7 linked regions of the Cricetulus griseus genome follow. The protein of the gene in region 5 purifies or fractionates together with the protein of the main gene of each other region. This does not show direct contact. Links are inferred from orthologs where the notes say so. Each region holds a gene or a part of one and is shown on either strand. Other genes may lie near its edges. The genes, in order: Vamp3, Pttg1ip, Napg, Stx8, Stx7, Snap29 and Stx6.

What was found.
Region 1: the proteins of Stx7 (region 5) and Vamp3 purify together in Homo sapiens (affinity purification with mass spectrometry; 3 studies listed by BioGRID and IntAct, counting the BioPlex papers as one, with this or other methods). This does not show direct contact. The link is inferred for Cricetulus griseus from reciprocal best matches to the Homo sapiens genes STX7 and VAMP3.
Region 2: the proteins of Stx7 (region 5) and Pttg1ip purify together in Homo sapiens (affinity purification with mass spectrometry; 3 studies listed by BioGRID and IntAct, counting the BioPlex papers as one, with this or other methods). This does not show direct contact. The link is inferred for Cricetulus griseus from reciprocal best matches to the Homo sapiens genes STX7 and PTTG1IP.
Region 3: the proteins of Stx7 (region 5) and Napg purify together in Homo sapiens (affinity purification with mass spectrometry; 3 studies listed by BioGRID and IntAct, counting the BioPlex papers as one, with this or other methods). This does not show direct contact. The link is inferred for Cricetulus griseus from reciprocal best matches to the Homo sapiens genes STX7 and NAPG.
Region 4: the proteins of Stx7 (region 5) and Stx8 purify together in Homo sapiens (affinity purification with mass spectrometry; 5 studies listed by BioGRID and IntAct, counting the BioPlex papers as one, with this or other methods). This does not show direct contact. The link is inferred for Cricetulus griseus from reciprocal best matches to the Homo sapiens genes STX7 and STX8.
Region 6: the proteins of Stx7 (region 5) and Snap29 purify together in Homo sapiens (affinity purification with mass spectrometry; 3 studies listed by BioGRID and IntAct, counting the BioPlex papers as one, with this or other methods). This does not show direct contact. The link is inferred for Cricetulus griseus from reciprocal best matches to the Homo sapiens genes STX7 and SNAP29.
Region 7: the proteins of Stx7 (region 5) and Stx6 purify together in Homo sapiens (affinity purification with mass spectrometry; 3 studies listed by BioGRID and IntAct, counting the BioPlex papers as one, with this or other methods). This does not show direct contact. The link is inferred for Cricetulus griseus from reciprocal best matches to the Homo sapiens genes STX7 and STX6.

The regions. Positions count from the first base shown.
Region 1 is NC_048595.1:5,346,201-5,350,481, reverse strand, and holds the start of Vamp3 (vesicle-associated membrane protein 3), read right to left. Parts: upstream 2,801-4,281; 5' UTR 2,608-2,800; coding exon 2,606-2,607; intron 743-2,605; coding exon 658-742; intron 1-657. UniProt on the Homo sapiens protein: SNARE involved in vesicular transport from the late endosomes to the trans-Golgi network.
Region 2 is NW_023276806.1:261,236,639-261,240,756, reverse strand, and holds the start of Pttg1ip (pituitary tumor-transforming gene 1 protein-interacting protein), read left to right. Parts: upstream 1-1,318; 5' UTR 1,319-1,425; coding exon 1,426-1,531; intron 1,532-4,118. UniProt on the Homo sapiens protein: May facilitate PTTG1 nuclear translocation.
Region 3 is NC_048595.1:176,130,171-176,133,670, reverse strand, and holds part of Napg (gamma-soluble NSF attachment protein), read left to right. Parts: intron 1-668; coding exon 669-778; intron 779-897; coding exon 898-964; intron 965-1,228; coding exon 1,229-1,299; intron 1,300-3,500. UniProt on the Homo sapiens protein: Required for vesicular transport between the endoplasmic reticulum and the Golgi apparatus.
Region 4 is NC_048600.1:81,830,839-81,834,826, forward strand, and holds the start of Stx8 (syntaxin-8), read left to right. Parts: upstream 1-1,188; 5' UTR 1,189-1,306; coding exon 1,307-1,323; intron 1,324-3,988. Other genes in the region: Cfap52 (cilia- and flagella-associated protein 52), read right to left, coding at 331-406. UniProt on the Homo sapiens protein: Vesicle trafficking protein that functions in the early secretory pathway, possibly by mediating retrograde transport from cis-Golgi membranes to the ER.
Region 5 is NC_048595.1:243,359,526-243,363,652, reverse strand, and holds the start of Stx7 (syntaxin-7), read right to left. Parts: upstream 2,801-4,127; 5' UTR 2,672-2,800; intron 1-2,671. UniProt on the Homo sapiens protein: May be involved in protein trafficking from the plasma membrane to the early endosome (EE) as well as in homotypic fusion of endocytic organelles. Mediates the endocytic trafficking from early endosomes to late endosomes and lysosomes.
Region 6 is NC_048597.1:71,888,233-71,891,732, reverse strand, and holds part of Snap29 (synaptosomal-associated protein 29), read left to right. Parts: intron 1-1,518; coding exon 1,519-1,617; intron 1,618-2,629; coding exon 2,630-2,787; 3' UTR 2,788-3,500. UniProt on the Homo sapiens protein: SNAREs, soluble N-ethylmaleimide-sensitive factor-attachment protein receptors, are essential proteins for fusion of cellular membranes.
Region 7 is NC_048598.1:36,560,652-36,564,151, reverse strand, and holds part of Stx6 (syntaxin-6), read left to right. Parts: intron 1-648; coding exon 649-755; intron 756-3,500. UniProt on the Homo sapiens protein: SNARE promoting movement of transport vesicles to target membranes. Targets endosomes to the trans-Golgi network, and may therefore function in retrograde trafficking.

The sequences.
Region 1 (4,281 bases), about 240 Mb from region 5:
GGTAACTAGTAAACCTGGCTACAGAACACAGACACAGACACATATCCCACCCGATCAGAAAGACTTGTTCCTGGCTTAAACAATCTGATTACCCTATCTTACGAAGTGGCTCTGGGGCTCTGGGGACATGCTTTCAGGGACAGGTTCACATGTTTTAGGTATGTGATTTGATAATAGAAAAGTGAAACCAGGAAGAGTTTGCCTTGTGCTTAAAACACAGCTTCTAGAACATGCAATCAAAACACTCATTCATATAAAAAAAAAGCTTAAAAAAAAGAATATGAAAAAAATATGGAAAACTGATCTGAATTTCTCACAGAATCTTCACTGAAGTCCTCTAAACACACAATTAGAAAGACTTCTGATGTAGTCAAAATTATACTCACACATTGATGTTTTTTCTTTTTCTAACATTAAAAATTGTTAAGGGTTTGTGTGTGCGCACGCACAGATGCACACAGGTGCCTTTGGAGGCCAGAGTTAAAGGCAGTTGAATGGCCCAAGTATGTACTTGGAACCCAAACTGGAGCCTCTGCTAGAACAGAAAGTGTTCTAACCACTGAGTCATCTCTCCAGCTCCAGTGGCTTTTTCTGATAGAATCCCACAGAATACCCGGGTTTGTTTAAATTCCACAGTTTAGAATTTTAGAGCAGTACCTCATCGACTTGATTTTGTGTCTGCTGGAGTCTTCGATTACTGCCAGCAGCAGCACTTGAACTTCCTGAAGGCACACCTGTGGACCTGAAAGATGTAAGGCACAAACATGAGTCTATTATGATATCCAATGCACTTACATAAGCCAGACTTGGTAAGGCAAATATGTAACCCCAGTGCTCCTTCAGTGAGAGGAGACATGACAGTTTTGGGCACTTGAGGGCCAGCTAGCCTGACACACACAGTACTGAACAAGAGACACTGTCTCAAATAAGGTGAGAGGCAAGGATCTCTGAAACTGTCCTCGAACATATACCATGGTGTGTGTGTGTGTATGTGTGTGTGTATAACCTGTTCACGCTGGGACTTGGACTTACTAATTCCTTATACTGAAATTAAAAAACAAAAGTAAAAACAGTCCTGCAGTAAGAAATAAAGGCACCAATGCAGTTTTTTTATGATCCCTCAATAATTCCCAAGACTGTTCCAGTGACCAAACTTTGAAACTTTTGTTGTGTCAATGAAGTGCATGATCCCAAGACTGGATAATACCTCTACTTTCTCTCTCTCTCTCTCTCTCTCTCTCTCTCTCTCTCTCTCTCTCTCTCTCTCTCTCTCTCTCTCTCTCTCTCTCTCTCTCTCTCTCTCTCTCTTTCAGCTTGCTTTAGGGCCTGCAGAGATGACTCAGAGGTTAAGCACACTGGCTGTCCTTCCAGAGGACCTGAGTTCAATTCCCAGCCACCACAAGGCAGCTCACAACCATCTGTAGTGAGATCTGGTGCCCTCTTGTGGCCTGCAGGGGCACATGCAGGTAACTGTATTTATGTAATAAAAACAAAACCCAAAAAACCAAAAACCTCTTAAAAGACACACAAACGTTTAAGGGCACTCAGTATTCTTCTGATCCTTTTGTTGTGGCAAGAACTGTCTTATAGTTGGAAACAATCACAAAATAGCCAAAATGGAGATGTAGAGCCCAAGTGCATGGTGGGGTGTGTGTGAATGGAAAGGCGGGCTGAAAGCAATTCTCTCTCTGCTGGAAAGCCATTCATCCTCCACAGGCTCACCGAATGCTTTATTCACCCATGCCCACTTTCCGTAACGACTCACTCTTCCCTGTATCTAAGCCAGCACCTAAGGTGTGCCTCGCCACACGACAGTCTGCACCGTGTCTGTCAGCAGGACGCGACACTTCTCACGGCTGTCTGGCTTCTCTCTGAGTCCGAACACCCCCTTGAAGAGGGCACTATTACCTTCACCTCGGTAACATTCAGAACCAGCACGCAGCCAGCCGGCTGGGGTGTAGCCAGGTGCAGCTTAATTCTCTGACCGGCTCTGGGGCCCTGCCATTCGCACAGCAGTCCGACCGGGTGCATCTTAAGCGGTGTCACCAGAGTCCTGCGAACGTCACCACTAGACACCAACTTCAAAACAACAGAGTTCCTTGCTTAAGGCGGAAGCGAAACCCACGGCCGAGCTCCGCGGGGGGCGCGGCAGCGCTTCCGCGGACACCGCCTGGGCCTGGGCACGGCGCGGCGCCGACAGAGACCGGGAGAGCGAGCGGGCGAGCCGGCGGGCGAGCGCCCAGGGCCGCCCCCGCCCCTCTCGGGGACCTCGGGGAAGGAAGCTCGGGGCGTGGCGGACGCTTCCTCTGGAAGCCGGTGCCCCACCCTCGCCCTTCCGCGTCGGCCCGCCAGCCGCGGAGCACTCGGGGACGTCGCGGCAGGACGCCTGGGCCCGCAGCGCCCGAGGGCAGAGCGCGGCGCCCGAGGGCAGAGCGCGGCGCGGGGCCGCCGCCCACCTCAGGCCCAGGGCGCTGCGCGCAGGCCCGCGAGGCCTCCACCCGAGTGCGAGTCCCGAGCGGCCGCGTCCCGGGCGGGACCCTCGTCAGACGTGGCGGCCGCCGCCCCCCGGAGCCCGCCTGGCCGCGCGGCGCAGCGCGTCACTCACATTTTGGCGGCGGCGGCGGCGGCGGCGGTGGAGACTGGCGGAGACCGGCGGAGACGGCGGAGACCGGCGGAGACCGGCGGCGGACTGGGGCAGCCGGCGGCCGAGGCCGTGGAGATGGGCGGGGCCGCGGTGACGTCACGAGCAGGGGCCGGGCAGGAACCGACGAGGAGCCCGCCGCCGCGGAGGGCGCGCCGGAAGTGGGCGGGGCAGGAGTCAGGCCCCAGGCGCCGCGCTCTGGCCGTCTCCTCCCTGGCCCACCCGAGTGGGCGGGGCCAGAGCTGGGCGCGGCAGCAGCGCCGGTGCTGGATTGGGCGGGCGTTCTCGATGGACAAGTGGGCGGGGCCAGGGCGCGGCGCCTGCGCCTTTGGACCGGCTCCTCGCCGCCCGGGCGTCGCAGCAGCAGCAGCAGCAGCAGCAGCTTCGTCGGTGTCGGGTGTCGCGGCCGCTGCCCTGTCTCTACCCTGGAAAGGCAGGTTAGAGTAAGAACCGGTGCGCTGCACAGCCCTCTGGGCCTGCTTACGTCGTCTCTGGGTGGTGACGACATTAGAAACGGCGTGCGTGCTAACGCCCCAGAGTAGCCTAGTGGTCCTGGGGACACAACCCAAGTGCCTCCGCCAGGAAGGTAAGTAAGGGGCGGGAGGAAGCCCGTTTGGAGCCCCCACCCCCGTGTTCTCACTAGCGGTGACAGGTGTCTGCCGTTGCACGGATACCACCATCCCTGAAGGGATCCTTGACGTTGAGAACTCTCTTGGTTTCTGTAACTCTCTGGCCCCGGACTTTTGGTCGAATGAGGTGAGTAGTATCCGCTACAATGCAATCCAACATGCTTAAGCAGACCAGATGAGGGCAGCTGGTGGGTTCCTAAGTGAAAACCCCCAAGCTGTCTTCCACTCCAGGATGGTAATTCCAGAAAGTTAACGTGTGCTGGAAAGCAGAGCGTGCCACCTGAGTGGGTATTGGGTTGAGTGGTAGCTGGGGCCGGGGGGTGGGGGGCGCGTTCTAGGTTAAGTGGAGGTGCAGCACAGAACTAGAGAATGTGGGGCTGGGCTCAAGTACAACAAGAGTGAAGACAGGCAAGACAAAGGCATTTAAATGCAGCGGGCTCCAGAAAGTACCAGGGACTCCTCTTGGGAGACTCAGTGTGAAAACGTCTGGCACTAGTTCTGAGGTACATCTAGTGAGGCACTCCTAGAGAGACGAGCAGAACTCTGCAGAGAAGAGGACCGGAATAATGATAAAGTACCTAGAAGGGAGACCTAAGTGAGCTAAGCCGGAAAAGGGCTTAAAACAAAAAAAAACGAAAAACAACTACTCGGTAGAGCTGAGGAGTATAGCCTAGTTGGTATTGGGCTTGTCCCACATGAAAGTCCTGGGTTTGATCCCCAGAACCACATAAAACCCAGCCTGAGGTGTATCTCGGCGAGTTCCCTGCCAGCCTGGTCTACAGATTGAGTTTCAGAACAGCCAGAGCTGTTACACAGAGAAACCTTGTCTGGAAAGAACAAACTAGCAAACAAACAAACAACCCCAGCCTGTTGGCACCCATAATCTCAGCATTTGGAAGTTGTAGGTAAACGGTCAGAGGTTCAAGGTCATCCTTGAGCTTAAACAGGGAACTTAGGAGTACCCAGGGTACACGAGAAAAGGTGAATTCACAGTAAGATCCTTACTTATCT
Region 2 (4,118 bases), on a different chromosome or scaffold from region 5:
ATTCATAGTTCCATATAACAGTCCATTATCAAAAGCAGTCAGGAAAAGAACTCACACAGGGCAGGAACCTGGAGACAGCAGCTGATGCAGAGGCCATGGAGGGGTGCTGCTTACTGACTTGCTCCTCATGGCTTGCTCAGCCTGCTTTCTTATAGAACCCAGGGCCACCTGCCCACGGATGACACCCCTCCACAACGAGCTGGGCCCTCCCCCAATCACTAATTAAGAAAACACGCTACAGTCCTGCCTCCCACAGTGCACTCTTAAGGAGGCATTTTTCCTGTTGAGATTCCCTCCTCTCAGATGACTCTAGCTTGTGTCAAGTTGACAGAAAACTAGCAGTCTCGAGCTTGTATCCTATTTTGCTAGGTTCGACAACTGCCCAGGTCTTTAGTGAGTCAAAGCACTTGGGAGCCACTGTTTCGCATTGACCTTTGGTGTCCCTCAGCCTTGGTCCCCGGTTCATGCAAAGAAAAGTACCCTCTCACTAAAAGCTCCTCTATGTCTAAGTTCGATTCTCCAACCATCGTGAATCAGGATCGTTTTGTTCTCTTTGAGCCAGGGTCTGACCGGCTGAGGAAGACCTTGAACTTCTGACTTTCTTGACCCCCGCCTCCCAAGTGCTGGGGTGACAGGTGTGCGCCATCACGACTGGTTTGTGAGGTTCTGAGGATGGAACTCGGAGGCCTTGTGCATCGGTTGCTAGGCAAGCAATTTACCATCTAAGCAAGCTACCTCCTCAGCTCTCTTAGGGACTTGAACCGCATTCCGTAACAGGTTCGAGGCAGCGTGGATGCCGTCTTAACGTGCCCTGTGAACACCCACGCGGCTCTGAGAGAGAATCCACAGGACCGGGAGAGGCCCTTCTGGGGGGTCGGGCAGGGTTGTCGAGGGTAGGGTGGGCTACGGAGCAGGAGCAACCCACAATCGATGCTGCCAGCGGCCCTACTCAAGGAGCTTGGCTGCACTTGAGGCCACCGGCTCGCTCCGCGCCGCTCTGCGGTCCCATGTCTCAGAGCCCCTCGGGGTCCCGGGTCTCTTACTGTCCCCAACGGACCTATGCGGAGCAAGCCGAGCTGCCGAGCCTCACACCCGGCCTGAGAGTCCAGCAGCTCCCTTGCTACGCAAGCGCCCCAGCGAGCCCAGCCTTGTAGTCTACTGAGCACGCGCGCTGCTCTGAGGCTCCCGTTAGACCGCCCTCGCGGCCCTTCCCACAGTGCGCAGGCGCACGAAGCCTCAGCGGCGCCCGGAGGCGGGGCGTAGGGCGAGGGGGCGGGGCGAGCCGGAGCCTGCGGCTGCGCACTCGCAGTCCCCCCGCCCCTCGGGTTTGCCCACGGAGCCTCGGCGCTTGGCGGTGCAAACGTCTTAGCTCAGCGTCCGGGTTGAGTCTTCGGAGGTGCTGGCCGCGGACGCCACCGACGCACCATGGCGTCTGCTGCTCTCGGGCTGACGCCGCGCTGGCTGATGCTCCTCGGCGCCGCACTGCTGCTGCTTCTGCCCATGGCCTCCGCGCAGGAGCCTCCGGCAATGGGTAAGGCCCGGGGGTCCCGGAGGAGGGCGGCTGGGTCGGATCCAGGGCGGAGCCCAGCCCAGCGGGCTTCGCCTCCTCTGCGCTCACGCCCTCCCTTGGAGCTGCGGGCGTGGCGGCCGCTCCCGGAGTTACGTCGTGCCCCGAGGCACGACACACAGGCCCAGTCGGAACCGGTGCCTTGGCACCTGCTTAGCAGCCGGCTGATTCGGGGTTCCACTGGCGAGCATCTGCTTTCCTGCCTGTATCAGATGCTGGGGGCCGCCACGATGAGGAGCCGAGCGAAGTCTTGCAAAATGCCTGACTCTAGCCCGGTACTGTTTCTTTCGGGGGAAATCGGGGAGCTGGCAGGTTGTGTCAAGGCCTGAAGCTGAGGGTTGGCTTGGCCAGCTTCCTGACCTTTGCAGCGAGGGCTGATGAGGCCCAGCTAGAAAGAGAGTATTTTTCCAAACCATGTTAGCTCGGTCTCTCTCATGGTGTCTTTATACTCTAGCCTGGCACGGTGTGTTTTCTCTTTGTGACCTTTTGTGTGTTGTCGCAGCTCTGTTTAAGTTTCTTATCTGCTCTCAGGTCTGCCTAGGGTCTGCGACTGCTGCACCCCAGTTATCTCCTCTGACTTGCGCCTCAAGGCTTGCTCAGCCTGCTTTCTTACAGAACCCAGGGCCACCTCCCCACGGATGACACCCCCACAACGAGCTGGGCTCTCCTCCACCAATCACTAATTAAGAAAACGCGCTACAGTCCTGCCTCCTACAGTGCACTCTTAGGGAGGCATTTTTCCTGTTGAGATTCCCTCCTCTCAGATGACTCCAGGGGACTTGGGGTCAGATTCCCCAGGCAGAATGTTGGAGAGCCTGTAGAGACACAGGACCCCTTCCCAGTGGCTCAGGGGTGTCTGCACATTGGTGGGATGCTCTAATGAGGACAGCGCCCACATCCTCCATGTCTTACCACAGAACATGCTGGTTGTGAGATTTCTACTAGCTGACATTCTGTAGGAAGATGACTGATGTTTAAAACAATATGTCTTTTAAGGATACTGCATAAATTTAAAGAATACATCACAGTGGCCCCAAACTCCCCTTTTTGTTATTGTTTGAGACAGGGTCTCAATAGGCCAGGCTGGCCTTGAACTCAGTATTTGCTTGCCTGTGCCTCCCAAGTGCTGAGATTAAAGGTGTGCAACACCAGGTCTGGCAAAACTCACCTTTTAATATATATATATATATATTTTTGTGGGTGTGTGCTTCGTGGGTGGGTTGACATCTGAACCTGTAATGGGCTAAAGGGCCTGAGAGTGAAATTCCTGAAGTTGAGGGCACTTTGGTAGGGCTTTTGTACCCTTCCTAATGGTGTGTGGAGTCACTGTCTCAGAGCTTCGTCTTGGGGAAAACAGTCCCTAGAAGGACTGCAGTTGTCATCCTCCACAGGACTACTCGGGCACAATGCTGGCTGCTGGTGGTCACCAGGTGGTGAGTCCTTACTGAACAATGCAGTTTGCAGAGCAATCTCCTGTCGTCGTCCCCCCCTCCCCCCCCCAGTGAACTGTACTGGATGCTGCTGCATGCATCCCTTTTGTGGTGCCCTGCTCCTCCTCTGCTTTTCTCCTCAAATATCGAGGTGGCCGGGACTACTTTGTCTAAGCGTAACTCTCCTGATATGACAGTAGAGGTGCTCTTTTGAGTTCTGTCACTGGAGTAGGCACTAAGCCCTTCCACATTTATGGGGCGGGGCGGTGCACAGAAGACAGCAGCATGAGGCCTTCAGTATCATAGGTTTATAATAAATAATGTTTGTTTCCTTAGTTTTCAAAGTCACCCCCTTCCCACATGTGTAGGTGTGTCCCTTTGTCCTGGATGCCTTCTGTTGACTCACCTGAAACGTCAGGGACCCACTCAGAAATGAGTCATATTTATTATCTTTCCATTTAATTATTAAAGGGAATGAGTCTGAAAGTTCTTTTAAAAATGAGTAAATAGGGCTGGAGAGATGGCTCAGAGGTTAAGAGCACTGGCTGCTCTTCCGGAGGTCCTGAGTTCAATTCCCAGCAACCACATGGTGGCTCACAACCATCCGTTATGATATCTGGTGCCCTCTTCTGGCCTGCAGGCATGCATGGAGGCAGAGTGTTGTATACATAATAAATAAATAAAATCTTTTAAAAAAATGAGTAAATAGCACCTACACTGAGCTCTTAATTCATAATGCCTCAGAGTCAGGGTGTTGAAGATCAGCACTGAGGAACTGCGAGGACATTGTTCTTATCTCCAGTGTGTGGTTGGCTGTGTCCCGTGATGGGGTGGTGGGGTAAGAGATACTGTGTGTGGCCTCCTGAAATGTGAGCTGTGGGGCAGCAAGTTGTCAGTGTTTCCTGCCTTGTCACATGAGTCTGGGAGTTACTGCAGCCAGGATGCCTGCCACTCATGCTTTCTGATATACAGGATCCACACTAAAGTTGGCCTGTGGAGGAGGAGGGGGGCTGGCCTCTGGGGATTTAGATTTCCTAGTGGTAGAGAGGCCCAGGGTGGCCAGAACTCAGGATGTGTTTCTTGGAGCTCAGTTCTTTCGGTTCTGGACATAGAGATCTGGA
Region 3 (3,500 bases), about 67 Mb from region 5:
ATCTGAGAAGTGGAAGGCTTCTGCATGTAGTAAAGTTTTACAAGGATGTTTGTTTGTTTTGTTAAATTACTTGTAGGTTATGGAAAGAAAAATTAGCTTTATAATTTTTTGGTTTTCTAAAAGTCAGGCTGGAAAAGAGAGTTCCAAACTAGCTATTGCCACTTATCTTACTCCTTTTTAATGAAATAATGGACTATTTTGACCAATATGCCACATTTGTACTTCTTAATAGCAGATTACTATCCAGTTGTAGTGAGATGGGGTGTGTGTGTGTGTGTGTGTGTGTGTGTGTGTGTGTGTGTGTGTGTACACAAGCCAGAGCTCAACCTTGGATGTCTTCAGCTACCTACCTTGTTTATTGAGACAAGGTCTCTGGCTTGCTGCTCACTAATTATGCTAAACTGGCTGATTGGTAGTTCCTGGCATGCACCTGTAGATATACTTCTCCAGAAGTAGATCTACTTCTCCAGAACTGAGATTACAAGCACCTATCATATGTTGGGCTTTTTGTTGTTGATTTTTAGACCTAGATCTCAGATGGTACCTACTCTATACTACTGTGTGTGTGTGTCAAAACGTAACATGTGTAGGTAAAATAATTGAATTGTTAAAACTCCACTTCTTAAGTTGAGACATTTTCTGCCCCATGCTGCATGCGTTTCCTGAAGGAGATGCAGAAACTGCCTGAGGCCGTCCAGCTGATCGAGAAAGCCAGCATGATGTACCTGGAGAATGGCACCCCAGATACAGCAGCTATGGCCTTGGAGCGAGCTGGAAAGTAAGTACACACAGCTGTTGTGGGATGCCCTGGCTTTGCAGAGGACTCCTTTGTCTTGAAAAGTTCTTTAAGAAGCAAGTTTCTTAATTCTCACAAGTTGTCTTCTCTGTCTAATTCAGGCTCATAGAAAATGTAGATCCAGAAAAGGCTGTACAGTTGTATCAGCAGACAGCTAATGTGTTTGAAGTAAGTTAGAATTTTATTTGTTTCTTTAATTACTCATAATATTTTCATTCATAATATATAGGAAAAGAAAAATACAGTGGATTCTTTTTAAGGTTTTTCTGTGTCCACAGCCCAACTCTATTCCTTTTTTCTTCTAGAGGTTAGTGAATGGGCTAGCAGCTTTGGTGCTACCATCCATGGCATTGCTTTATGCAGTTGTTATGGAAGGGTAAGAAGAGTTCCACATTAACCCTGCCGACACTCCCTTTTCTTTGATTCCTCCAGAATGAGGAACGCCTCCGGCAGGCAGTTGAACTTCTAGGAAAGGCCTCCAGACTGCTAGTACGAGGACGAAGGTATGGCTTTCAAAACTGTATGCCCATACATCATGTGCATTTTGAATCTACATTTCAGACTTATACATAACCTTGGTTGGATCTAGTTTATCTACACCTAGACAAACAATGGAAACATGGTCAATTTCTAAAGAGTAGGCACATGGAATGAAAACCTGTTTTTCTATCATAAAATTCCAAAATGTATCGTGCTTTTGTTGCCTAACAGTAGTTCAGTACAATGGAAGAAGAGTTATCTTGATCTGCCATTGCACTCTGCTTTATGTTTTTCTCTTGGAATAAGTGACAAAAGCATCCTAAATACCCAAGATACTTGAGTTTTATCATTAAATGGGATTGCCTTAGTTATCCTGTGTTTTTTTGTGTTTCCATGTGAAGTTAAAGATGGTTTTTTCAATTTCTGTGAAGAATTGTGTTAGGATTTTGATGGGGGTTTCATTGAATTTATAGATTTCTTTTAGTAGAGTGGCTGTTTTTACAATATTAATCTTACTGATACAAGAGCATGGGAGGTCTTTCCATCTTCTGGTGTCTTCAGTTTCTTTCCTCAATAGCTTAAGGAAGGTCTTTCATTTCCTTGGTTGGAGTTACCCCAAGGTATTCCGCACACATGTGTGTGTGCGTGTGTGTGTGTGTGTGTGTGTATGTTTGTTGTGAAAGGTACTGTTTCCCTTACTTCTTGCTCAGTATATTTGTCATTTGCATATAAGAAGGCTATTGATTTTTATGTGTTAGAAATTGTTTATCTGCTGTAGAAGTTTCTAGGTGGAGTTTTTGGGGTCTTTTATGTACAAAAATCATCTGCAAATAAATATATTTGATTTCTTCCTTCCCTGTTTGTATCCCCTTGATCTCCTCCTTTGTCTTATTGCCCTAGCTAAGACTGTAATTACTGTATTGAATATGTATGGAGAGAGTGGGCAACCTTGTCTTGTTCCCAACTTTAGTGGAAATGTGTTGAATTCTCTCCATTTTAGTTGGTGTTAGCCATGGACTTGCTCTAAATTGTCTGTATTATGTTGAGGTTATGCCCCTCATATCCCCACTCTCTCGTACTTTTATCATGGAAGGGGTGGTGGGTTTTGTTGAAGGCCTTTTCTTTATCTAATGAGGTGGTCATATGGTCCTTGCCTTTCAGTTTGATTAATACAGTAGATAATATTTATCAATTTATGTATGTTGAGCCTGCTTTTTTGGAATGAAGCCAATTTTATCATAGTAGATAATCTTTTCATATGTTCTTGGATTTGGTTTGCAAGTATTTTATTGAGAACATTTACATCTGTATTCATAATAGGTATTGGACTATATAGTGGCCTTATAAAAAGAATTGAGAAATTTTCTTCAGTTTCTATTTTGTGGAATAAATTGAAACATATTGGCATTAATTCTTTGATGGTCTGATAGAATTCTTTGCTGAATACAACAAGGCCTAGGATATGTTTGGTTAGATTTCTTATTTACTGCTTCTATATTACGAGGGGTTATGGGTCTCTTCAGTTGCTTGTATCATCTTGACTTCACTTAGGTCACATGTACCAAGACATTCATCCATTTCTTTTAGGTTTTACAGTTTAGTATATTAGAAATTTTTGAAGTATATCCTCATGTTTCTCTGAATTTCCTTAGTTTCTGTTGTAAAGTTGCTCTTTTCATGTCTAATTTTGTTCATTTGGATCTTCTCTCTTTCTTTTAGTTAATTTGACTAATGTTTTGTCAATCTTGTTGCTTTTTCTCCAAGAACCAACTCTTCCTTTCATTTATTCTTTTTATTAGTATTTTTATTGTTGTTGTTTCTGTTTCATGAATTTCAGCCTTGAGTTTTATTTTTTCTTCTGTCTACTCCTTGGGTTTTATTTCTTCTTCTTCTTCTTCTTCTTCTTCTTCTTCTTCTTCTTCTTCTTCTTCTTCTTCTTTTTCTTCTTTTTTTTGTGTGGAGCTGACAGGTGTGTCATTGAGTTACTAATATGAGATCTTTAGTTTTTTGATGTAGGTATGAACTTGCCTCTTAGAATTGCCTTCATTGTGGTCTAGAGGTTTGGATATGTTCTGTTTTCATTTTCATTCAATCCTTAAAAGTTTTTTCTTTTTAATTTCTTTTTAATTTTCTTGTTGATTTCTGCTTTGACCCCAAGTTGTTCAGTTTCCATGAGATGATGTACTTTCTGCTGTGTCTGTTGTTTTGATTCTCAACTTTAGTC
Region 4 (3,988 bases), on a different chromosome or scaffold from region 5:
GGTGTTACCCGGGGATGCATGGGGGTGGGGGTTGGGGGAATATTCAGAGCCAAGGACTGCTCCCAGGGGTGCGTGTGTGTGCGCGTATGAGAGAGAGAGAGAGAGAGAGAGAGAGAGAGAGAGAGAGAGAGAGAGAGAGAGAGAGAGAGAGAGAGAGAGAGACTGAGTTAGGCACATTCCAATTTCTGAGGCTCGGGAATGAGGCTAAGATCCTTCATCACCGTGGGTGATGCCTGGCTAGGCTCTTGCCACTGTCCCCACGGCCTCTCAGGTGCCACCAAGTCAGTGTCTCACTTGTCCCTGGGGTATTATGGATGCTCCAGGCCTCACCATTGAAGCCGATCACAGCCTCAAGCTCCAGTTCGGCTACGTCGGTCTCGGTTTCGGGTAAATTTTGTTCTTCCATCTTGGAGAATTTCAACTCATTGATTCCTCAACTCCTGGCTGCAGCGTCTTTTGGTCGTTATGGTAACTGGCGCACGCATGCGTGCTAGGTTTACGCTGGAGCAGAAATCCAGCCCACTGAGTTCGACTTTATTTACCTTTTTGTAAATGTAGGGAGGGCTTCCTTATTATTTTTTTCACTCATTCTAGAAATTTAGGTGTTAGGTGAATACTGAATATGCAGAATGAATTCCCTCGTCTCCCGTGTAAACTCTGACTTTTGTCTTAACTATAAAATTAAGCCTCTTATGGTAACTATTAAAAGTAATTGAACACAGAGAATTGCCTCTGATGCGTAGGCTGCTATTAAAAAACAAAACAAAACAAAACACGGAATTGATACCTCCTTGTAAAAGAATTCTTTTTGAAAAGATCACTTTAAAAATTTAAGTACAGTATGCAACTATTTTCATGTATGTATCACTATGAACGTTGCTTGTATGAATATTTCCGGCTTCAACCTTCCAAGCACGGCAAATTCAGGCGCGAGGTATCACAGCCGGCTTGCTCTGTTGTTTTTGAATCAGAAAAAAAGAAAAAAAAAAAATGCGAAGAACTACGAGAGCCGGAGTCTGAAGCGCTTCCATCCCTGGGAAAAGGTTTTGATTCTGCTCAACAATTTAACCATTTTCCTTGCGTCCAGCAGTTCGTACGAATTAACTAAAAATCGATTGTTGCAATCCACTGTCTCCCAGGGGTGAGCTTTGGTTGGTGTGGTTTTGAGGCCCCTAAAATATGTTTTCTGTGCTGTCCGCTGGGCTCGGGTCGCGCACCTTCCGAACTGCGGGGAATGAGCCGCGCGGGCCGCCGTAGTCAGCTGCTGTGAGCAGGAAGTGTCCCAGCTGCAGGCGGAGACTGCACCATGGCCCCGGACCCCTGGTGAGTTGCTGGTGTTGGCAGTAGTTTGCCGTAGGACTTGGGGTGGAAGTGGCTCCCAGGGATTCGCATAAACCCTGGCCATCGTTGAACTTGAGGCTGTCAGCTTTTAGGGGTGAGCAAAGCGGGTGAGGATCCTTTCCCTGTTTTGGGGACCCAACCACATCCCGCCTCCCCGGCGCTAACTCGGTGGTCGGAGGGGGACACCGTGACCTGGGGGAGCTGGGACTTGAGCAGAATCGATATTTTCCCCCGCCTTCTGTGGGGGCTTCTCGCCTAACCTGCCTGTGGATGACTGCGTGTGTAGACTCCCCTGGGGTCCTGTAAAAGTGAAGTAGAAATAACCTTTTGGTGGGATGTCTCTGCCTTCACCCATTAATCCCCAGAAAGGGAAGAAACTGAGGTTCAGACTCCATGGTCCCCAGCCAGTTAGTAGTTAGCTGGGCATAGGTGTAATGGGCTCTTCACAATAAGACTTGTAGCAATCTGGGAGGGAAGTTTGCACTTGTGATAGGCAGTTTACCCTTTCCTGTGTCAGTATCATGAAGACTTAACGTCAGCAAGAACTAGTGCAAAAGTCAGCACCCGATAAGGGCCATTTATTCAGCAATGAAGCCCCAAGGAAAGAATGAAGAAAATGTGTTCACACAAGGAACACATTGCTATACAGTCTTGACCTTCCTGTTTAATAATTTATAACATTGTATTTCTATAAAGTTCTTGTTGGAGGATATGCCTTATGTGGGTGTTTCTGGTACAGTTTATAATTGTTTGATGGCAGACAATTTTAAGTATTAGGAGAGTGGATCCCAAGGTCAGAGTTAGAGTTACCTGGGATTTGAGATATTTGGGCTAGTTGCTGAAATTTTCTTGGGCTTTCATTTGTTTGTGTGCTTTGTTTCCATTGTCTCAGAGAGCCCAGTCTGACCTTAAATTCCTGATCCTCTTGCTTCAGTCTAAGTGGTTCGATTACATGCAGCCACCATGCCCAGGAAATTGCTGAATTTAACACTTCTTACTCCCCCCCACACACAAGTTTCAACAATTGTGTACACCCCTGGTAGAAAATTTGGAGACTACTGAGTATCTGCAGGAAAGAAAATAAATAGCATCTTCATCATTTGGAAAGAACCAATGTTAACTTCTTTTGAAGACTTTTATTGTTTGAATCTATATCCTGCTTGTATTTTACACAACAGGAAGCGTGTCTCCATATCATTAAGTAGTATTTAAAAATGATTTTTACATGCATATCAGTACATCATCTGAATGTTCATATATTTCAGTTTTTCTCAGTGGTAGAACTTACTACATGCAAGGCTTTGAGTTTGGTCACCAGCAACACAAGAAAGCTTTCAACTGTCAAATGAGAAAGCCACTGAGTAAAACAATTGAGACTAACAGTAAAAGAGTTCTAATGCTTCAGTGTCTTGGGGTAAAATTCCCCTGAGTCAGATCTCATTAGACTACTGTGCCAAGTTCTGTAGAAACTGACCTCTGCTAATCTGTCCTATTTAAATGTACCCTGCTAACAGGGCCAGTACTTGGTCAGGCATGCTTTCTTCAATTCTTCTGTGCTTGTGCTTTCCATGGTGTTTAGATTTCACCCCTCCTTCCAGTATGGAAATCTGCTTTAGTCTGGAAGTCAGCCCAAGATGTCCTCTTGCAGCCCAGCCAATCTGAGCACCTCTGACATCAGTAATGTCTCCCATCCTAACTCCAGAGGTACTTAATTTAGGTCTCGTATTTGATGGAATTGTGTTATGGATTTTATATGTTTGATCTGCCCTTACAGAGCAAGACTAAGCTCCTGTCTTCATAGCTGATAGTGTGAAGGCAAACAAGTAAAATGTGGGGAATCCGGGGCTAGGACTATTTTCCTTATTGCCTCTCTTTTTAAAAAATTTTATATATAAGCCAGGTGGTGGTGGCAAACACCTTATATCCCAGCACTCAGGAGGCAGAGGCAGGCAGATCTGTGTGAGTTTGAGACCAGCCTAGTCTACAAGAGCTAGTTCCAGGACAGCCTCCAAAGCCACAAAGAAATCCTGCCTCCAACACCCCCCCCAAAAAAACATATATAATATATATTAACCACCTGCTCTTTTTCATACACATACCTATACCTGAATATACTGAATGATGCATATTGATGTATATGTGAGTCTAGGGTTAGGGGTGACACTGTCTCTGAAGTGCTTGTGAAGTTCACAACAAAGTTCTCTCTGTAGGACCTGGAGCCACATCCCCAGCCCAAGTTAAACACTTTTCTTCTTTCTGATGCTGGTGATTGAGTCTCGTGCACTGAGCTATGCCTTTATTCACTTTTTAAAAAAGTTTGAGACGTTTCGTTAAGTTACTTCAACCTTACGGTCTGCTCCTTTAAAAGCTTCTCTCTTTGGCTTGTTGGCGTCTCATTTCCCCACCATGGAGTGAGATCCAAGCTGGCCAGCTTGAACAATAAAAACAAACCTTTTGCTTTTGCATCAGTGTCTACTCCTGGGATTGGTATGGGACTCCTTGAACCTGGCACAACATTTTCTTTTCTTCTCTCTCTCTCTCTCTCTCTCTCTCTCTCTCTCTCTCTCTCTCTCTCTCTCTCTCTCTGTGTGTGTGTGTGTGTGTGTGTGTGTAGACCAGGCTGGCCTTGAACTCACAGAACTCTGCC
Region 5 (4,127 bases):
ACGACATTCAAAAGACAAGAGTTGGCCCTTCTGATAAAATACAAATAAGAGGGACAATGCTATCTTTGCTATTAAAAAAACATACAAGTACATAGTTATCGATAAATGACTTAAAAGTTTATGACTTTTACAACTAAGCTAATTAATTCTATGTTTATACAATGTTTGTGCTCTGTAACCATCCCCAGTACCTAGCTTGAACTGCGAGACACTAAAGTATTCTTTTTATAAACCCATTTGGAATTCCTAGTGCCTTTGCAAAAAATAATTATATAACTCATCACCTGTACCTGCGCTGCCGGTAGAGTAGCTACCATTGACATGGACTATTAAAGTGAATTAAGTTACATGGCAGCCACCCAAGTCACCTTTCAAGTGCTCAGAAATTATATGCGGCCAGTGGCCAGCAGCTTGGACAGCTCACATATTCATTTCTATCGCCCCAGAAAGTTCTACTGGACAGCGTTCAACTCAACATCTTAGTAATTATCTTTTTATGAAGATATATAAGCACTATAAGGTGAAAGAGGAGACCGGAGATCAAAGTGCAACGCCCACAATGAGATCTGTCTTAAGACTGTGTCTAAAGAACAAAAAAGAAATGAACAGAGAAATTTTTGCTACAGAATATTGAATGTAAACTACTGCCCTGGAGATACTGCTGAATCCTTAAGACTTCCACTAAGTATAAACTGGTGTGAAATTCAGCCTGCTCAAAACAAATGGTCAGTTTCACTTTCTTAATCGTGCACACCATGGTAATACACTGGACTTCCTTCTCCCTTGTCTCCCACGGTTTTTATTTGTGTGTCTAGTGCTGTACTAGGTGGAGTGTAAATTGTGGACCTGTTCTATTCTCTAGTACATGGCTACAAAATAGGTCAGGAATCAATGTTTGTAGTGGGAATGAACAGGTTTACCAATTTCCTAAGAACACATACCCAGCCTGAGAGAAAATATTAACATTTCTAAAACACTAAATGACAGGTGTATTGCTGCTTTGGCTTTTCTGGGTGCCATTTTCCTATCTCTAGAAGGCCCCCCCCCACGGTGCTCACGTGAGCACCAGCTCCTTTTCTCAGCAAGCTGTTATCACATGCTAGAAACGCCAGAGGTGAAATGAGAAGTCACTGCTATTGCTCTCTGTCAATGTACCTTCTGCTTCAAACCATTTATAGTACTTAAAAGACCCAAAGATCCACAATGCTTATTTTCAGTCCCTAACACAAACAAGAGAGGGAACAATCATCGGACATAATCAATGGAAGTGAGGGCCTCCACCTTCCATCCGTTCCACAAGCTACCAAAGCACACTTCAGCCCAGCTCCTTCATCAGTTAAACTATTATGTTACACTATTTGGATTTAACTTACTTTACCAAGGATTTCCCACCATGGTTTTACCCATTAGTATTTCAAGTTACACTGAACCACAGCAAAATCCACTCAGACTTAACTGTAGGTGTTCCGTCTAATAATAATAGTAGACACAGCAATAATATTTTGCAATGCTGAGAACTGAACCAGGGTCTCGTGCACACTAAGCAAGCACTCCACCACTGAACTATGTATAGCTAATAATCGTGATCGTTAATAATTTCCAACCAGCAGCACTTGGACGAACTTGGGCTCATAATCAAAATTAGAAATGACTGCTAATCAGGAAGAATATAAGAAGTAAACTACCTGAAGGAAAAACGACGCAGACGAGTTAATACAGTGTCACATTAACTTCCCCAGACACTGGGAAACTACAGTCTAATTCTTAACTAGTCACAAGCCTGGGGCCAACTTCGGAAGCGGCAAAGCCAAAGGCTTTCACATGACAAGACACAATTTAACAGTTTTATCAGTCTCTGCCCAGTGCAGCTCAGAGTGCACATAAAAAAAAAAAAAAAAAAAAAAAAAAAAAAAAAAGCCTATATCCAACAGGACCAAATCGAACAGTGTTTCGCGGTTACTTCCTTTTTTTTTTTTTCTTTTTTCCTGATTGTGGACCACCTATAAATGACAATTATTGCCAGAATACAAGATCTGAAGTGTGTGTGTGTGTGTGTGAGAGAGAGAGAGAGATAAAATCCGAGACAGAGAGAGGTATATAAAATCCAAGCATATTACAAAATCTGAAGGGAAAATTAGCATTTGACTAGGAGGCTATCTCCCTCTCCACCCTTACCCAAGCTTTGTTGTTGTTGTTGTTGTTCTGAACTTAACCTAAAAAACACAGATGCGAATTCTTGAAATACTTTTGTTAAGGGTCTTGGGGGTAAATCAGTTAAAGCCATGCACAATTAAGGTCAAAGAAAGTTAGCTTGTGGAAGTCACCGCCAGCAGCACAGCAAACTCAAGGGGCCGCAGAAATAACCTGTGGCCAGATGACCAGGGCCCAGGGCTCTGACTTTTCTGTTCTGGAAGGGAAGTTGACAGAGAATGAGGAGCTGGCGATGGGATCGGCGCCCAAGGCTGACAGGCAGCCGGGGTTCCCTGCCGCGCACCCGCCCGGGAGTGCAAGCTCGTCGCGTCCCCGAGTCCGCGGCGGGGCGTGGGCGCCTCTTCTCGCCGGCCCCGCGCCCCCGGGGAGCCCGACTCTGCCGGCTCCCAAACACAGCCACCGCGGGCTGAGCTTCTGGGGCGCCCCTCCCGGACCCCCCGGCTCTGCAGCCTCCTCTTACCCTAACCCCATCGGCTTCCTTCTCCTTCTCCTTCTCCTTCTCCTGCAGCCGCTGTCACCCAGGGGCCCACAGCCCTCCGCAGCTAGCTTCAGCTGATGGGCGGTGGTGCAAGCCCGCCCACTGCGCATGCTCGGGGTACAGCCCAGGGAAGAAGGAGGCGGGGTTCGCTTCTCTCCCATTGGCCAATAACAGCTAAAGCTTGAAGGGACTAGCAAAATTGCTACGGAGCAATGCCTTGAAGCCTGACACACTGATGGTGAATGTCTACGTGCAAGAGAAGAAGGGATACAGGAGAGCTGTCTTCTTCACTCGGTGGCGCCATGCTCCCTGGACTCATACCCCATCAGCTCCTGCCAGTCCTGTTTCCTAACCCTCAACTCTGCAGTCGACTTTATTAACAACCTCATTTTAAAATGACACACACACACACACACACACACACACACACACACACACACACACACACACACACACACACACACACACAAGGTCAAGGCAATTCTGGCTGAATCCACGAAAGAACAAATGAAGAATCGCCTCTGGGTGCTCACTTGGTAAAGATGTTTTCTTAGCTCACGATCGTCCTCGCATCCTCGAAATACAGGAAGCAGTTTTCCCAGGCTTTAAGAGCACAGAATGTTCCAACAATGAGCATCAGTGGCTCGGGTGAAAGACATTCTTTGCAAAATTAAGACGGTGTTATTTTCTGAAAAGAGCATGAAAACATGTGATACCAAAGTACACAAGAGAGAGAGAGAGAGAGAGAGAGAGAGAGAGAGAGAGAGAGAGAGAGAGAGAGTTGAAGGGAATCCAGAATACTTCGAACCAGAACCACAGAGAAAAGTACGTTGGTTGGTTTTACACATGCAAGCATACATAGATGATTTAGGTCAGACTGATGCGCTCGTCTTCCAAGCAGGATCCACACAGTGAAGTGAGTACCCTGGTCAAAGGACAAACACCCAGTGAAAGCAATGTGATTCAGCTAGAGCCACTGTGAACTTTTGAGTTTGCTTTATTTTGTCAGGTACTGAAGATTGAACCAAGGACCCTGCACACGGAAAACAAAGGCCTTAACTGTGTCCTGTATCCCCAGCCTTTTGTTTGTGAAACAGGATCTTCATAGGCTGCCCAAACTAATCTTGATCTCACTCTATAGCACAGTCAGGCCTTGGACTTTCAACCCTGCCTTGTCCTTCTGAGCAGCTGGAACTAGAGGCCTGTGTCATTTGCCCAGGTTGTTTGAGGTTTTGTTTTCAGGTGCTAGAAACCAAACCCAAGGCCTCAAATTTTGGAAACATGATCCACCACAGAGCTATACCCGTAGTCCCCACTGTGAACTATTAGAAATATTAGCCCAATATAGTGACATTATATGTTTTTCATGATACGGAGGAAATTCCAGTTTCTGTTTTTCAAAATTGTTGTAATTTTAAAAATCATTCTTTGTCAAGGA
Region 6 (3,500 bases), on a different chromosome or scaffold from region 5:
TCATATTGGGTCCAGGTAGTCCCAGTACTTGGGAAGCTAAGGCAGGGAAATTGTAAGTTTGAGTTTGAGGCCAGCCTAGATTATATAGCCAGGCTATCAGAAAACCAAAAACAAGCAAACAAACATACTAGGCGTTTTAGTCACTTGGGAGACTGAGGCAAAACATTACCATGAGTTCAAATCCATACTGGAACACAGTGGAAAACCCTGTCTCAAAAGATAAGAAAAGAAAAGGAGAGGCTAGGTGTGGTAGCACAAAACTGTAATTCCAGCACTCGGGATGAAGGCAGAAGGATCAGTAGTTCAGGGCCACCTCAACTACATACTTACATACCAAATTCAAGGCCAGCCTGAGCTACACAAGACTCTCAAAAGAGGACAGAGGTTATTTCTGTATATGTTTAGAAATAGAATTTCTTTCTTTGTTTTTGTTTTTGTTTTTTTTTGTTGTTGTTGTTGTTTTTTGTTTGTTTGTTTTGGTTTTTTTTTTTTTTTTGAGACAGGATTTCTCTGTGTAGTCCTGGCTGTCCTGGAACTATGTAGACCAAGCTCAGAGATCCTCCTGCCTCTGCCTTTGGCGTGCTGGGATTAAAGGTGTGCTCCACCACGGCCCAGCAAAAACAAAAATAGTAAGCTCAGTTTTGTAGCATAACTTCATTTCCTTTAGTCTCTTTGAGATTGTTTACTGTGTAGCCCAGGCTGGCTTTGAATTCATGATCCTGCTGCCTTAGCCTGCCAAGTGCTGAGATTTCAGCTGCAAACCACCACACCAGGCAATGATTTTCATCTTTGCTTTTTTCATGTTTTATATGGTTTGATGTGGTTTTGTTTCTTTTGAGACTGAGTCTCATTTAGCCCGGTCTGGCTTCAAATTCATTAGTAGATGATGACCTTAAAATTCTGATATTCTTGCTCTATCTGCTAGATTATAGACGGGCACACAACAACTTTGATTTTTAAAGCTGTCTCTGCCAGCTCTGCCTGGTGTAGTAGTATGCACCTGTAGTCACAAATATTGCAGGAATAGCTTGAGTACAAGAGTTTGAGGTAAGCTTGGAGTTCACGGGATTTACAGTAGAGAGAACTTGTCTAGCATGCACAAAGCCCTGGTTCCAATCTTAAGCATTAAAACAAACAAACAAAAAACCAACCTGTCTTCCAGAGCTTGCTTGCCTGTGAGCCTGCAGCTTTGCATTGACAGTTCCCTGTTGTATTGTCATGTCTCTTTCCGTATCTCACCTGTTGACTTGTAAATTGAGAGTCCTTAATCTGCTAATGTTGAAGGACCAGCCAGAGCTCAGACTTGACTTCTCCAGCCTATAACCCCTGTCCCATTCCCGCTCCTGTCCCTCTGCATGGCCTCAGAGGCAGCTACCTCCTTCCTCCCACCCCTTTAGTTCCTTCCTGGTATGAGTGATTACTGGGGACAGTTTCCTAGGACTTCAGAAAAGAATAGGCCAATTTCATGGAGCAGTGACCGTCAGTGAACTGTCCCTCTGGTGTTTCTTTCTGAACTAGACCCAACCCCCAAAGGGCCTGCTTCTGCTGTGACTGCTGAGGTTTACCCAAAGAACTCAAGTCTTCGAGCCTATCATCAAAAGATCGACAACAACCTAGGTAAGTTTGGGAGCTACAGCAGCCTCCAGACAGTTGATGCTGAGCACAGCCAGGGCGCCCAGTACTGCCTCACTGTCAGGAATCTGTCCACTTCTCCCCATTTCCTGCTGTCACTGTAGCCAAGCCATCCTCACTACTTTCTTGACTCCTGACCAGACCTAAGCATCCCTGGGGCTTAAGAGCATCCAGGATAAAGCCACACGGCTGATGTGAGTGCGAAGGAGCTGAACTCAGATCTCATGCTTGCCCAGCAAGTGCTCATATCCACAGAGGCATGTCCCACAGCCCACCAGGCTGGTCTATCTCAGCCTTTTTTCCTGTCCTTACTGTCTCAAACCCAAGAAGCTTTCTTGAAGCCTGGGTGAGTGACCACTAAACTTTTACTTTACAGGAAACGTAAGGTCACATGTTTCAAAGATCTCAAGAAGCATAGTATGCCAGGCAAACACCTGTCATCCCAGGTACCTGTGATTAAGATAGGGTTGCAAATCCAGGGCCAGCCTGAAAGTTTGTGAGATCCTGTCTCAACATGACAAATATAAAGAGGCTGGAGGTGTGACTCAGTGTTGGAGTGTTTCCCTAGCACATGCAAGGCCCTAAGTTTGATTCTCCAGCACTTAGGGGAGCAATGCTGTACGTGGTAGAGACCCTAAGTCTTCTCAGGCAGCAGAAGCAGGGAGATCACTCTGACTTCAAGGCCAGCCTGGATTGCATTGTAACTTTCAGGCCAGCCAGAGCTATCTATCAAGACTATGCTAAAACAAACAAACAAACAAACATGTTAACCCTGGTTATCTGGAGGGAGGAGGTAGACAGTGGCTTCTACCTACACTAACCACATATTACTATGTAGTAAGTAGATTTCTCTTCACTTCCATGTTTTTTGAGTCATATGCTACAGGCTGTGGCACTCGGTTTTAGACAGGACTCTGCAGTCCAGATACCACTGAGCATCCAGAGGGGCAAGAAGCCCCTGCAGACACTGTAACTGCCTATCACTTCCTTCTCACAGATGAGCTGTCCATGGGATTGGGCCGACTCAAGGACATAGCCTTAGGAATGCAGACGGAAATTGAGGAGCAGGATGACATTCTTGACCGGCTAACAACCAAAGTGGACAAGTTAGATGTCAATATAAAAAGCACAGAAAAAAAAGTTCGGCAGCTCTAAAGAAACTGAAAAGGAATTCTACTCCATTGTGATGAAAAGATTCAAAGCCTCTTTTAAACTCCTAAGAAATGTCATTGATTGTACAGTATGTAATTTAACATATGTGTTCAAATGTGGGTCTTAAGAAATTTTAGTTTCAATGGGGAAAAAAATGTGTGTGTACACATTTGGGTAAGATCAACACCTCTAAAGTTCTGGGCAGACTAATTGTGAATGCCTTGAGCTTTTGATACTGTGCAGGAAGAAGAAAACCGTGCATTTCTTTCTTTCACAAGTATATGCAAAGATGTGGGCAGGATGTCAGTCAGTCTCCTAACTATTGCCTTCTATTTACTCGCTGTTTCTCACTCCAAGGCCTTACTGTGAATTCATGTAAAGTGACCCTGGGTTTTGGCAGAAGGAAGGGTCCTTCCACATCTTTGTATGTCAATCATTATCGATATGCCTGCACATACACTGAGCACATTGTAGCTTTCTCCCCCTGAAAAGGACCCCTGTTAGACCCAGAAAAGGAATGTGTTGCCTTCATTACTCTCCCCTCCTGTCCTCAGTTCTTGTCCTGTATTTCAGTAGAAGGACTCAGACTAGAACTGTTGGACATGACACCTGCAGTGTATGGAAATTGGATGAACTCTTCTTCCCCACCTACTGTCATCTCATACTTGCCATCTCTGGTGGGGACAGGTTTTTTTGACTGGCTCTAGGTCACCAAG
Region 7 (3,500 bases), on a different chromosome or scaffold from region 5:
TGTATATATGTAGACATTATGTTATTTTGTTCTATTTGCATTATCATGTTAGGCAACCGAGTTGTTTGCTCTCAAAATGTTACAATGAAGCAACATTTTTAATAGAGAGTAAGTCGAGCAGGCACAATTGAAAGTCTGTCTTTGTCAGCCAGCAGTTGTCATTGAGGTAAATTATTGTCCTTGAAGAAGAGGAGACGGACACTGTGCAATCCTCCCACATCCAGAGATTTGCTAGGCTCTCTTTCAGTGTTGCTGTGGCAATGTGTTGTGGACTGAAACCTTGATCTTGGCAGTGGGCTTCCTCTTCCTAACCAACCCGTGATGTGGTGGTCATATGCCTGTGTGCTTTTGGCCATTATCTGTTCCCTTATTGGACCTCAGCCAAGCAGAGTAAATCTATCTCTCTTGGTGGTTTCAAGCCCTGCTGACTGTTCACAAGTTGGATCAGCAGGCAATATGGGTAGCTTGACAATCCAGTCTTTGGAGCAGTGTGTTCTCAGAGGCAATGGTCTGGTTCTTTGATTCTGGGCTTTGCTTTTGAAAGTGAATTGTCCCAAGCTGGCAAAGAAACTAGCAGCTGCTGGAGTGCTGGGCTTGGAACCAGGTAAGATGGATTTTAATTGCTTATTTCCGTTTCCCTGGCACCAGTTGATTGTGGAACAGCAGGATGAGCAGTTGGAGCTGGTCTCTGGCAGCATTGGGGTGCTGAAGAACATGTCCCAGCGCATCGGAGGGGAGCTGGAGGAACAGGCAGTGTGAGTAGTGAGATGCCCTTATCTGCAGTGAGGATGAGGGGGGAAAGCCATCCCATGAGACCCTGAAATCCTAACCATGAATTTACATGGCTGGTAAAGAGAAAAAGCAACGTAATTTACAGTTACAGTTTTTACTTTGTTGCCCAAATTATCTCCCCTAAAGAAGCAAATCTACCAGATAAAAGTCACAATGGTAGTTTAGGCAAAGCTGTTACTTTAAAAACCATTTAAAAGCCAGACAAATTTCTTTCAGCAGATTCTTGTTTGTTTGTTTGTTTGTTTGAGACAGTTTCTCTGTGTAGTTCTGGCTGTCCTGGAACTCACTCTGTAGACCAGGCTGGCCTTGAACTCACAAGAGCTTCCTGCCTCTGTCTCCTGAGTGCTGGGATTAAAGGGGTGTGCTACCACCACCTGGCTCTCTTAGTAGATTCTTTAGGCGTACAGACAGAGCTGTAGACTCTGGAGACAGTGCTCCAAAGGGGAAAATAGGCATGAAGAAGCCATGTGAAGGTGGCATAGGACTCTCAGCTGTCATCGCAGGACACCCTACTACATTAAACATAAATTATAATCTTTTTTTAATTAAAAATGTATTTTTCATTTTACATACCAACTCCAGTTCCCTCTCCCTTCCCTTCTCCTGCTCCCCATTATAATCTTATAAAAAACATTTAAATTTGATTTTAACTAGGGAAAACAATCTTCCCCTCAAAACAAAGAAAAAAGCTAAACAAAACATAACTCTTAAAAATTGTTTTTGCTTAAGAACCTTGTCTTTTACACTCTAAAAGTATGATAAACAAAGATATCTTTCTTGAACACTGCCATATATCATTCTACTTTTTCCCCCCTGGGTGGGTGGGGTATCTACTAAGAGGTCTCAGAAAGTACCCACTGCTAATGTTCACTGTTACACATGCTCACTATCAGTTCCTCCTGGGCCCTTGTTCTGCACCAGGCTGTCTGGAAAGCTCAGGGGTACAGGAGTGAGCAGAATAGACTCTGCCTGCCATTCAGAACGTTTGCCATTCCCAGGTACAGCACATATAGTACAAATGAAGGAAGTAGTCCCATGGTGGCAGTGGGGACAGAGCCACTATCACTATGATAGGCTAGTTGGCTGACTGGAGAGCCCCATCTTTTCCAAGAAAGAGGATCAGCTGGAAGCTGTGGAATGTTTGGAAGGAAGGTGGTTGCGTGAGAGCCGGTGCCTGCAGAGATGTCAGCAGGTGTGCCGAGGAAGGTTCAGAGGTGCAGGTGTGCACAGAACAAGGTATTGAGTGTCTAGCATGGGGAGAGGGGAGCTGAGGACCTGATGGAGAGTCAGAGGACAGCAGGAAGGGCCTTGTCAGTGTGATGAGAAAGCAGGACTTTGACTTTTCAGTGTGGTGGGAGGGCAGGAAGGTGGAGTTTGGAGTGATGGCACGAGCAGGGACTGGGATGTTATAGCAGAGTGGAGCCAGGGTGGTGTGCCAGATGGGAATCTAGAGTAACAGGAACCCAAATGCACAGGTTAGTTTCTAATTAAAACGGAAGGGGCTCGAGCCACTTTGTTGGTGAGGCAGCTTGAGAATGAAGACAACCTGAGAGATACAGCTAGTTAAAGATACTGAAGTGACGACAGTCTGTAGCTCCATTCCCTTCAAAGTCACCACAGCAGTAACAGAAATGTTTTTTGTTTGTTTTTTGTTTTTGGTTTTGGTTTTTTTTTTTTTTTTTTTTTTGCAATGATATAAAACCTCTGGAGAACATATAACAGGATACATCAGTTATACCAATTTAGATGATGGACAGCAGGCAGGCAGCAGGTTGTGGATTCAATAGGCCAAAGGAAGCTGACCCCTGAGCCAGTGGGGAGTGAGCAAGAAGCGGTGTGCGTCCCACCACAAACCCCTCAGCTGTGACTAGCCTGCACTTAGGTGACTTCATGTTAATGGTGAATATTGATCTAATCCAATTGTGGCACAAGTGTATCAAAGAGAGAAGTGAGAAGGAGTCAGGGTTGGAATGGCGAGGACGAGGGCTGAACCCTACTCTAACAGTGCCATACCCTCAAGTGAAGTCTGCGGACAAAAGCCAGCATTGTAAGACACAAGCATGCTACTTCACAAGGGGAGAAAGCACCAGAAGCAGCTGAAGTGATGAGAACAGAAAGAACTGTTCTTTAGCATAAAATAGTTTAGCATAAAATCCCTGTGGGCCTGTTTCCTATTTAAAGTGGGTGTTCGTGTATCTGGTAAAAAGAGAGAAGAGATATGGGCCTTGAGCTGATAGATACATGCGCCATGCAGGAGACTAGCCACCCACTTCGTGTAGCTACCGAGCATGTGGAATGTGGCCAGACTGAGCCAAGATGTGCTGCGAGTGGAAAGTGAATGCTACAGTTTGAACATTGTTAAAAATGAATTTCAGAGGCTGAGGATGTAGCCCGGTTTGTGTAGTGCTTGACTAGTGTGCACTAAACCCTGAAGTCAGCGCCCAGCAGTTTATTGGCCAGGTGTGGTGATTCACACATTTGCAGAGTAGAAGCAGGAGATCAGAAGTTCAGGATCACCCTTGTCAGTTTGAGACCAGCCTGGACTGCGTGAGAGATCTTGGCTCAGTGTAAACCCCTTTAAAAGCACAGCTGCCAGAAAATGCAAAGTGCCATTTGTGACCTGCATGGTCTTTCTGTTGGGCAGAACCTTGGCTGTGGCTGTCCTTGCCTGAAGATTGAGTGGCATGCCTGTTTCAGCTTTAGCAAGA